Caenorhabditis elegans: one gene and its partner. The main gene of each other region encodes a partner of the protein of the gene in region 2 in a complex. Each region holds a gene or a part of one and is shown on either strand. Other genes may lie near its edges. The genes, in order: atat-2 and mec-12. A codon is read from its position in the direction of its gene.

Region 1 (5,367 bases), on a different chromosome or scaffold from region 2:
AACATCAAATATTCTTGTTTTCTGTAAAAAATGTTGAGTAAAACAAATTGAGATAATGAGGTCACAAGATATTGATTTTAGGAAACTGTTAACAATAAAATTTTAGAAAACTACGCGGAGTACGTCAAATACCTTCCCAAAGGTCGAAACGTGGTCTACGCTGAAGAGCTTAAAGTTGGAGATTGTCTAGTTCTTCTTTACAAAGTAAGTTTTCTGTTCAGTTTTCCAATAACAATTGATTTCTATTTTAGGGAAAATTTCGCCAACAAAGAGTCATGAGAATATCGATAACCGAAAGAAAGGGAATTTATGCCCCAATAACAAAAAACGGGCGAATTATTGTGAATGATATCGTAGCATCGGTTTTCAGTGGAATCAAGCACACACGGTTACAATCCGATTACTATTCTACCATAGCCTATGCACAGAGCTGGTTATGGATATTTGGAGAAACTGTCTTTCACAAAGTGAGTGCAACTTTTTAAAATTGAAAAAAAAACGACCCTATTCGGTTAATTGAACTCTAGATCTCTCTAGATACCTGTTTAGGTTACCATCAATCAAAAACTTTTGCATTTTAGGCCACAATCCCAATCGGTTCAGCATTAGCTTCAGACGTACTCCGGTTAGTAATACCATAACTGAAAATTTAACTCAATCATCTAATTACATTCTATCTTTTATTACGAGTTTTTTGTTGATATTTTAAAAATTAAATAATTATGTTCATTGTGTATGAATAATTCGTATTTATTATTTTGAGTTTGAAAACAGCCAACTTTGATATTAAGCGATTAGAAGAATTATGAAAAAGGATTGAAATATCAAAAATCATGAGATCATAACTAAGGCAAGGAGGCATATTTATTGTGTACTGCCGCCAAAGTAAATAATCAAAAACTAGCAGCTTATCACCAAATCCGGCGATGTCCAAAATCTCGAGCATTTTTCAAGCCTGTTGGACTATTTGGGTCTACTTCAGCACGCACTCCGGCTAACATATCCTGGCGCATCAAATCAGCAACCGAGTCGTGACGGGGGCGATTGCGCTGAAATATTATTTTTTGCAAAACAACTATTTTTTTATTCACAAACCCCAATTGGGGAGGTGTTACGGCTGGATGCATGACTGGACACAGCTGAACTGGCTCGAGACGCTCGTTTTGTCTGGCGAGGGGTGAATGGAACAGTTGGGTGACGTCCAATGAAAAAATTTGAACATAATGCATATTTGTTTGATTGCCATACTGGAAATGTTGCGGATGATGAGAATTTCTACATATAATACGGTCGTAAACTAAGTATCAAGTTTTTTGCATACAAATTGATGACTGTTGCAAGTAAGGCTTTTTTTTCTGAATATAATTTGGCATCCAAAGACTGAAATAAATTTAAGAAACTAACAATGGATTGATAAAGTTTTTAAAACTGTGAACTAACTACTTATGCAATTTAATTCAAATTTGAAAATAGAGCGATAGTTTGATTTTTAAAAAGATTTTAAACAATATCGTTCTGGTATTTTTATTAGTTCAAAATTCAAAATACTAAGTAATCATAAATACATTTCCGGCAAGCTTTCGACAAGTATTATTGATAAAAATGGATGAGTTCAATAATTCTTTCCTATTTGAATTTTCTAAAAGTGTTTAAACATTTTCAAATGAAACTCAGCTTAAAATTAGGTTTTGGGATCCATTTCTGTCAAGAAAGTGGAGGAAATAAATTTTTCTGTTTTACGAGCAAAAATTAATAACAAATTCGAGTTTTATTCAGCTATTTTTATGGACTAGTTTTCAATAGAATATTGTATCAATGTTTTATTTGTTTCATATTAACTTTTTATTCCACACCAATTATTAATGACATACTACTAAAAAAACAAAACTTTTGATTATGACTAATGAAAGACAACTGCTCATTGCCAACGAAACTCGGGTGATTTCATTGTTGCTCACTCATTCAGCACTCTCTTCAAAATGCATTATCTTATCAGCTTATCAGAGCTCCAGCTACTTCCATGCAAAGTATGCTTTAGCGCGGAACCCGGAATAAGTCTGCGGTTGCGAGCAACAGCTAATCCAGTGCGAAATCCACTAGTATCGGGTATGTTTAGGTGCTGTGAGCTGTATCTACCTTGTCGGTCTTTGCTGTCGGCCGAATTTTGTAATGTATCGGTGGTACAAGAATGCAATTTACTTACCCAAATCTTTTCTATCATAATATTTTTCTAGAAATTGTTGGAGAGCAGCTGATGGTTTGTCGAATGCGCATTGGTCTACTGTTACGTTTTCAGCCTGAAGTAGAACATTTAAAAACTCTAAGTCACTTTTCTACAAACATTTAAAAAAACATACTTTTAACATTTCATCAAACATTTTGAATCCATTTCCGGAGCGTTGTTCGGTGGGCACAACGAAAAAGTCCAAAATGCACATTGCTTTTTCCATGTACTGATTTTGTTCATTATCTGTCAGATAAAGCGTTTTATATCCAACTCGAAGCAACCCTTTGAGTATACTTTTGCTTCTGAAAAGCAATAATTAAGATAACTTTTTTTTTGAACGATTTTCCCAATTTAGTTTTAATCATGAGCAAAAAAAATTGAATTCCAAAATATATATTTTTAAGTTTTACATTTATATTTTTAGTCAAAACTAAAATAAATTTGAAACTTATATTTAATTATGCGTTGTAGGATGCAAAGCAACAAAACTCTAAATTCAAAAATTGGGTTATTCGCCAAAACCAAAACAAACTGTTGACTGGAAATTCTTAGAATTAATATCAATATATATTTTTTGCAATAACAAAGATTGTTGGTTTATATATAAGGATTATATAAGGATTTATTCAAGTAAGAAATTCGAAGTTCAAAATACGGTCTTACTATTAGTAAGAGGTATGGACAAATTATTGAAAGTTATATCTTTTTTTTTCATATACACACTGCAATATTCAGGTATATGAAAACCTCATGAAAGCTTTTCAAAAATCTTTTTTTTTTAATTTTAAACTACTATTTAATGTTGCAATCCTTATTGCGTTTATCAATTTACAAAAAAACAAACATTTTAAATATTCCAAAATTTTCATACTTATTAATAAAAACGTATTAAATTCAAAACGTATTAAATTCAAAACGCGAAGCCAAGGATCAAAATGTGCAACACATTTCGCTACTCCACCTTTGAAACATTCTTTCCACTTTTTTAATTTATAATTTCCAGTTTTCACTTTCAAAATGCCTTACCCATTAACTTTCTCCCACATAATGTAGGTCGTCTGCTCCTCGTCATGGTCAACGATCTTGTCATACATTGTGATGACTCTCTTCCATCCGTGGAACTGCAAAAAAAAAGACAAATGCCGTGCATTTTCAATTGTCTAAGCCATATAAAAAGTTTTGCATTGTTAATAACCTTCAAAAAAGTTCTGGAAAAAAACATGAACCTACCTTTGATGACATTTCACCCAGGCAATCTATACTTTGAGCCACAGCCCAATATCGTTTTGGTCCATACTTCAATAGGTCAGTTCGAGTGAGACGTTGAATGTTATCCGTAAAAATTGTTGACAAATCGAATGCGATCTCCATGTTTCTGCAACAAAAGTGATACAGAAAAATAGTATGAAACTTAAGCTGGACTGAAGGAAACAAATTTGGGATAAGTTGAGAGGGACTATGTACGCGATTAAAGAAAATGGGCGGAAGACACGAGACTACTGGCCTCGGCCGCAATATATGGAAAAGAGAGAAGGAATAAAACGGGGTACGAAAAAAAAAGGAAGGGAAAGAAATAGGATGCGAGAAAAAAAACTTGATGGGATACACACATGTCATTTATTTATGATTCACTGAATACTTCTCGATTGATTGGCGGAGAAAATCAAAGCAGGTGGGTGAATGAAGAACTGCGGAGGGAAAGTTTAAGAATGTGGTACAAGTGCTCGAGTATGAATGTTTGCACATTGATGACGGAGTATAGTTATGAAATATTCATTTTTGTGCAAACATTATACAATCGAACAGGTTCGAGTGGAGAGTAATTAAATATGGACTATTACTTTTGCGATTATTGTCTCAAAGGTGGACTTTCGACAAACCAAATGAAAATAAATAGTGGAAGATGAAAAAGTCCAGTTCGTAAAATTGCAAATTACCAGCTTCTGCTAATTTTTTTGTTTGAATTTTTCCAAAATGACTAATGCAACCAATCAGCGATTACCTGTATAACACCAGCATATTTTTGCTAAATATTAAGACAAAAATCCGATTTCCCAACTCCGTCTATAAATTGTATTACTCAGTCAAATAGTTAGGAATATCAAAGGAAAATATGAGAAAAATTTGTGAAAAAAACGATAAAAAACTATGAAAAAGCCCAGATTTTTTTTGGTTTGCTAATAATCGTACAGTTTAAGACAATAAACCCACAGATGAGTTAATTTTGAAAAATAGTACAATTCGAATGAATGTTATTTTTAAAAAATGTGGCATTTTTAATTTTACTTCCCAACCAAATCTATGCAGTGAACAGAAATATAATTTCATTGGATAAATTATTTTAGAAATGTATTATAGATTATTTTATACATTTTAAAACAGATTTAAACAACTAATCGAAAAAACGAAAAAATTGTAGGAGTCAGATGCATTGATTTTAAAAATATAAATTGATCAAAAATAGAAACAATTTTTGATTTCTCAGATAAAACTATGCAGTTTTTATCATTTTAAAAAACATTTCCGCGAAAAAATATATTTGAAAGTTAAAAACCAATTACCGAGTTGCTCTATTGTTCATCACATTTAAACTGGTCGAAATTGAAGAGAAAAAGTTTAAAACTCAATATTATTTGCTAGACCAAAAACGTAGATACTATTAAAATCCATATATATTTTGTGCAACCCTATTGAAAAAGTATACTATGCATAAATTTCAAAACGAATCAATAATTTCAAATATACAAAAAATTATTTTGAATATGATGTTAGTAAAAATAATATTACTATGACTACTCAAAAAAAGAGCTCTGAGCAGATGCTTCGATTGCAAAACTACTATGCCAAGATATATTTCAAAATGCTACAACTCTCCCGAATCGTATGGGAATTTGTAATGTGGTGAGACGGAGCGAGAAGTGGTGTTGCGAAATAAAGCCGGAAAAGTGGGCACGAACAATCGATTCCAAAAGGGAGTCTGCTTTTCGGGGGGTGAGAGGACATGCGCAATGAAAGAGAGAAGTAGTTCGGTGGCACGCGTGCGCGTGTCGTATTTTACAAAAGGTCCAGCTTCCGTGGGGTGTCGATTTGGAAATTGAAAAGTAAGATGCCCTGACTGACACACCTTGGAATTATAATAA
Region 2 (5,179 bases):
GTGTCCTCATCCTTCTCCTCCGCCACCAACACTCCCAAATATTCAATTCCAATTCCTTATTTCGGTTTCGGTTTTCGATGAATATCCAATGTTCTTCATCCCTTTCCCTCCCTTCATTTTCTCATCTTTTCTTCTTTTTTATATGAATAGCAGACGAAGAAGTTTGTTGGTGAGAGGGGAAGATGAGCTTCCTCCCGAGAGTATACTTTGTCTATTTGGGAAGTTGATGGAACATGGAACTTTTGGTTTTAGTTGCAAAACTAACGACAAACAAATTTTCTAGACTAACTTGAAACGCCTATAACTTTGCCGGAAGTTGAGTTAATAAAAAATTGTTTATTAACATATTATAGAGCTCAAAATTTCCTACAACTTGGTAGTTGTCAACTTTTTGATAGCTCTCCTCATCGCGGAGATATACGCGTTTAAAGTAAGAACAGTGAGAGAGTGTGGAGGGAGGGGAGACGCAGTCGCGCTCGTTGTCTGCGTCTCTTTCTCTCCCACGATCTTTTACAACGACACGTTAAAACGTTTGTAACTCTGCGTAGAAAACAGCTATCAAAAAAGTTTCAACTAACAAAATGTGAGAAATTTTGTATAGTATTTTCAGATACCCCAAATTTCTCTGAAAATGTTCAAAATTTCCTCCGTCAAATAGCAAAACATTTTCCATTTGCATCCCTAATAGGGTGTCCTACTCCAATTCCATTAAATTCTTGGAGAGAGTACATCCATTCATGTTAGCAGATGTGTAGTGTCTGCGTCTAATTACATCACAATGGGCTCGCCATTTGAAGCAAAAAGAGGAAGAGCTCTTTGAAAATTGAGCCGAAATGGAATTGGTGACGTTTTTCTAGGGTTTTCGGAGAAGCCTAATATCAAAAATTTTCCAATTGCGTTTTTTCGCAGAACCACAAAAAGTCATAAAGTTAGACCTTTTAACTCAAAATTTTAAAATTTTTTTCAGCTTTCCGACACCTTCAAAATACGTATAATCATGACCAGATTTCCAAAAAAGTTTGGTCCCGCCACGAGAGCTACAGTACCCCTTCAGAATTTTCATAGCTTAGTTATGTTTGCATATTCAAATGAAAGTTCTCAAAATGCCAAATATGAAAACCAAAAAAATTAGGTCTTGCGGTGAAACTGGGAATATTGCTGTGCCGTTTTGAAAATTTAAATTTTTTGATTTTCGAAATTTTTCGAAAATCCATAAATGTGCCAAAACTTAAAGTTTTGGGCGGAAATTAGAAGTTATAAATGCGTAAAGTCCTGAACTACGCAAAAATAATAATTTTTAACATCTCTGTAAGATTGCTACAGTACCACATACGTTTTCGTGACGGGACCCAAAAATTTCAGCATTTTCAGAACCTAGTCATGATTATACTTATTTTAACGGGCTTTTAACACTGATTTCAAAAATTTAAGTGAAAATTCAAAAATATCTTCTTAAAAAAAATCCCCCACCAATGACAGTTGGCTCCAAGTCGACCATGACGGCTCTTGGCACATGACGTCCACTTCCAGTTTCCGAGAAGAAAGTGCTGAAAGAGTCATCGGATCCTCCGAGGGACTTGTCAGAAGGCATTTGACCATCGGGCTGAATTCCGTGCTCCAGGCAGTAGAGCTCCCAGCAAGCATTTCCGATTTGGACTCCGGCTTGTCCGATGTGAATCGAAATTACTTCTCTCTGCAAGATAACTTTTTTTGTTTGTAGATTTTAAAGGGTTTTATTATAAAATTTGAATTCAGCAAACGAAGAGCTTCAAATTAAGCCCCATATTGGCTATGTTCCTTTAGATTTGGGTCCCGTCACGAAAGTGTCTACATGGGGTACTGTAGTTTTCGCGGTGGGACCCAGTTTTCTCAGTGAAACCTAGGCATGACTATACTTGAATTGAAGCTCACAGCGTGGTGAATTTGAATTTTTGAATCAAAATTTCAAATTTTCATTTTAAAAAGTTTACTACGATATCTGATATGTATTACAGGTAGACAGGTAGATCAAACCCTCTGAAAAATTTACATTCGTGGCGAATTTCAAATTTGTTCAAACCCACTATTTTATTGTAAAACTCAATTTTCAATAAAATTTCGCGGGTCTCGCCACGAAGAGTGCGTATTTCTTCTAGGAATAGTCCTCTCCTCCCTAAAGTTCCACCCGCAAAAAGAAAGAGAAAAAAGTCAATTTTCGCCCAAATTGGATACATTTTGTGTTGCTCGTCTCAACTCCTCAACAACCCTCCTTCGCCCCGTCCTGCTCGGCGCGGAGCATTTTTCAGTTGAATTGGCAACATTTCCTGTGTTTATGTGGTGGGGCTCCGGAAGTCCGGACCTGGCACCAGGTGTGCTCAATGAGTCGAAAAAATGTTGAAGGGGTGTTGAGGTGGAAGAGTTAATAAATCCTAAAATCCTAGTTTTTCAAAATCAAATTTCGAAAAATTGTTTTTTTTTCCTAAAATTGTTAAAATAATTTGTTTTGATATCAGGGTTCCTAACCAAGATGTGTCCTGATAACGCATACGCAGACGGCGATGGCGTCTGCGTCTCACCACTTCTTACACTATCTCGTCGCTAACTTTAAGTGTTTGTATCTCAGCGAAGAGCTGAGATATCAAAAAATTTCAACAAACAAAATGCAGCACTTAACATTTCCTACATTTTGTTAGTTATCAACTTTTTGACAGTTGCTTTCCGAACGGAGATATGCCCTGTTAAAGTTAGGAGGACTGGAATAGTGTGGCACGAGAAGAGACGCAGACAGCCCCCTTCCACACTGTTTGGCTTGCTACATTTTGAACGAGTATATCTCCACAGGGAAAAGAGTTAGAAGAAAAGTTTCAACTAACGAAATGTAGGAAATTTCAAGGTCTATATTTTGTCTGTTGACAAATTTTTAGTATTCACGTTATTTTTCTAGATACTGGTAGTTTTAACAAGAAATCAGATTCGTAAAGTTTTTATGGCGAGGTTTAAATGTTTCAAAATTCATTTTTCACAAGAATTCATTTCTAGCATCTCAAGAATCTAAACATTCAAATAAACATTGTTCAGAAAATCTAGAAAACCCACCATTTTGCAAAAGAGGAGCTACAAGTTGTGTTTGCTGGGCGACGAGTTGAGATGGAACAGAACACACACAAGTGGGGCTCTGTGCTCTGTGAGCCTCTTTTCTGAAGACGTGCCTTCTCTGCGTCTCTCCGTGTTGACACATGCTCCGCCCCTCCTATGTTTCTTTTTTTGCTCCGCGAGCTCCATGTTTAGGATGGGAAAGGAGACGACATGAAATTCCGAAAAACAGAGAAAAAACGAAATTAAATTAAAATGTTGCGAAATTGTTAAGAACATTGGTTTTGACATATTAAAATTCTGTTGAAAACTAATAAAATACAAAATAAAAAATTTCCTTGACAGTGTTTAAAAATCTTATATCTCTGCTGGTAATTAGCAAAATATAGCTTTTATGATGTTCTACATTTTGATATTTCCCATCGCGAAACTTCTACTTCATATAATTTAACTGTTACTGGGGAAAAAGTAACATATTGCCCAAAGGCAAATTAGAAAGGACTCTAAAGACCTAGTTTTGGTGAGAAGTTTTCAAAAAAAAGTTTCTACAATTTTTTTTAAATTTAAAATTCAAACGTACGTATCTCAAAAACCAGGTGAGTTATCAAAAATTGCCAACAAACAAAATTAAGCTCTTGAAATTTGATACACTTTGTAAGTTGACAACTTTTTGATACATTATCTCGTCGCGGAAATACATGTGTCTAAAGGAACCTAGGTGAAAGGTACATGCCAGGGTGTGCGGCAAATTTTCCGAAATTTGCCATTCACCGAGCTTGGTAAGTTTGCCGAATATTCCACAAAAAAACATCAAAAATATTAAAATTTTCGGATCCCAATTATTATTCTAGTTCAGTTTTTCAAAATACAGTTTGAAAAAAAATCGTTTTTTGTAGATAAAGCTGTATATCTCAAAAACCAGGAAAGTTATCAAAAATTTGTTCACTAGCAAATTGTAGACAATTTTTAGAGCTATACTTTGTTTGTTGACAATTTTTTCGTAGCTCTACAGGTTTTTGAGAGAAATCGATTAAAAAACAATTGAAAAAAAACTTCTTGCTTTGAAATTTTTTTGTAATTTTTCAAAACCTTTTCGCAAGTCAGTTGAATTTTTTAAAGTTTCTACATGTTAAAAAATTAATAATTAAAAATTAATTTTTACATTTTCCAACAACACATTCTTCTCCCCACCACTTCCACCAATTTCCAGCCATCTGCCCTCTCTGGCTCCGTGAGCCCTCAGCAAACAGTATCAGGTTACCCCTTAGAGACTCCGCCCAACTACAGTAATCCAAGGAAATAGTGTGTAAGGTGGAGAGAGCCGAGAGAGAAAGCCATCTGGAAATGAGCAAAAGGATTGGTTTACCGATGGAAATGGAAAGAACCTCCTAATGCATTCAGATTCAGAGCTCTGCGATGAAGCTTGCGGTGACTAGTATTCAGCTGTGTATTTATTGGCCTTTACTGCTTAAAATGTATTCAAAACTAGTATAATTTCAAAAAAATTCCTTTTTTTTTGTTAAATTTTAAGTTTTTCCCTACTACCAATAGGATCCTAGGACCTTATCACAATTTCTAACACTCAAATTTTGATGAATTTGGAATTTTTTGGGGGACTTGGGACCACTGTTGTATGAATTTTTAAGCTGATGATCTTCCTTTTTCATTCATTTTTGATAGGGTCTCATATTCTTGGAAGAACTGGAAAATGATAAATTTTGAGAAGAAAAGGCTTTGAGAAAAAAGAACGAAGGGAATTTTGTTGTGCAGTTTTTGAAAATTTTTGAAAAAAAATCGAAAAATCTCAAATTGTCTAGCTGAATTGTTTTTTTTTCAGTTTGTGTATTTTATTGATTTTGTAAAAAAGAGTTTGACGATAGCTTTAATTTTACAGAAAAAATTCGGCAAAAAATTTCAATTTCGATCAAAGTTAAAATTTCGAGAATTTTCAACATTTTTTAAACATTTTTAACATTTTGGAGTTAGCCCCAGTAACTTGCCGATTTTGTTCTGAAATTTAAAATTTATTGTAAATTGAAAATCCGCACATTTATAGTTTTTATTTAAGTATAATCATGGCTAGATTCTAAAGAATTCAAAAATTTCT

What was found.
Region 1: the proteins of mec-12 (region 2) and atat-2 are in contact, whole or in part, in a cryo-EM structure (PDB 8YAL), measured with the Caenorhabditis elegans proteins. Residues at the interface, in NP_497663.1 of Caenorhabditis elegans: Leu26 (codon at 1,621), Glu27 (codon at 1,618), His28 (codon at 1,615), Gly29 (codon at 1,612), Gln31 (codon at 1,606), Pro32 (codon at 1,603), Pro37 (codon at 1,588), Ser38 (codon at 1,585), Asp39 (codon at 1,582), Ser41 (codon at 1,576), Leu42 (codon at 1,573), Gly43 (codon at 1,570), Gly44 (codon at 1,567), Ser45 (codon at 1,564), Glu55 (codon at 1,534), Pro364; in NP_001379875.1 of Caenorhabditis elegans: Trp51 (codon at 3,339), Lys52 (codon at 3,336), Arg53 (codon at 3,333), Ile55 (codon at 3,327), Arg89 (codon at 2,501), Lys93 (codon at 2,489), Thr94 (codon at 2,486), Leu95 (codon at 2,483), Tyr96 (codon at 2,480), Thr98 (codon at 2,474), Gln104 (codon at 2,456), Leu113 (codon at 2,429), Asp114 (codon at 2,426), Asp148 (codon at 2,264), Lys149 (codon at 2,261), Ser171 (codon at 1,239), Asn172 (codon at 1,236), Lys173 (codon at 1,233), Tyr174 (codon at 1,230).

What each region holds. Positions count from the first base shown.
Region 1 is NC_003284.9:5,847,339-5,852,705, reverse strand, and holds atat-2 (Alpha-tubulin N-acetyltransferase 2), read right to left. Parts: upstream 3,607-5,367; 5' UTR 3,599-3,606; coding exon 3,458-3,598; intron 3,349-3,457; coding exon 3,254-3,348; intron 2,530-3,253; coding exon 2,358-2,529; intron 2,298-2,357; coding exon 2,204-2,297; intron 1,248-2,203; coding exon 1,096-1,247; intron 1,050-1,095; coding exon 912-1,049; 3' UTR 735-911; downstream 1-734. Other genes in the region: hog-1 (HintN domain-containing protein), read left to right, coding at 107-204, 252-467, 582-641. UniProt on the Caenorhabditis elegans protein: Specifically acetylates 'Lys-40' in alpha-tubulin/mec-12 on the lumenal side of microtubules. Promotes microtubule destabilization and accelerates microtubule dynamics; this activity may be independent of acetylation activity.
Region 2 is NC_003281.10:3,136,057-3,141,235, forward strand, and holds the start of mec-12 (Detyrosinated tubulin alpha-3 chain), read right to left. Parts: upstream 3,179-5,179; 5' UTR 3,079-3,178; coding exon 3,076-3,078; intron 1,694-3,075; coding exon 1,471-1,693; intron 1-1,470.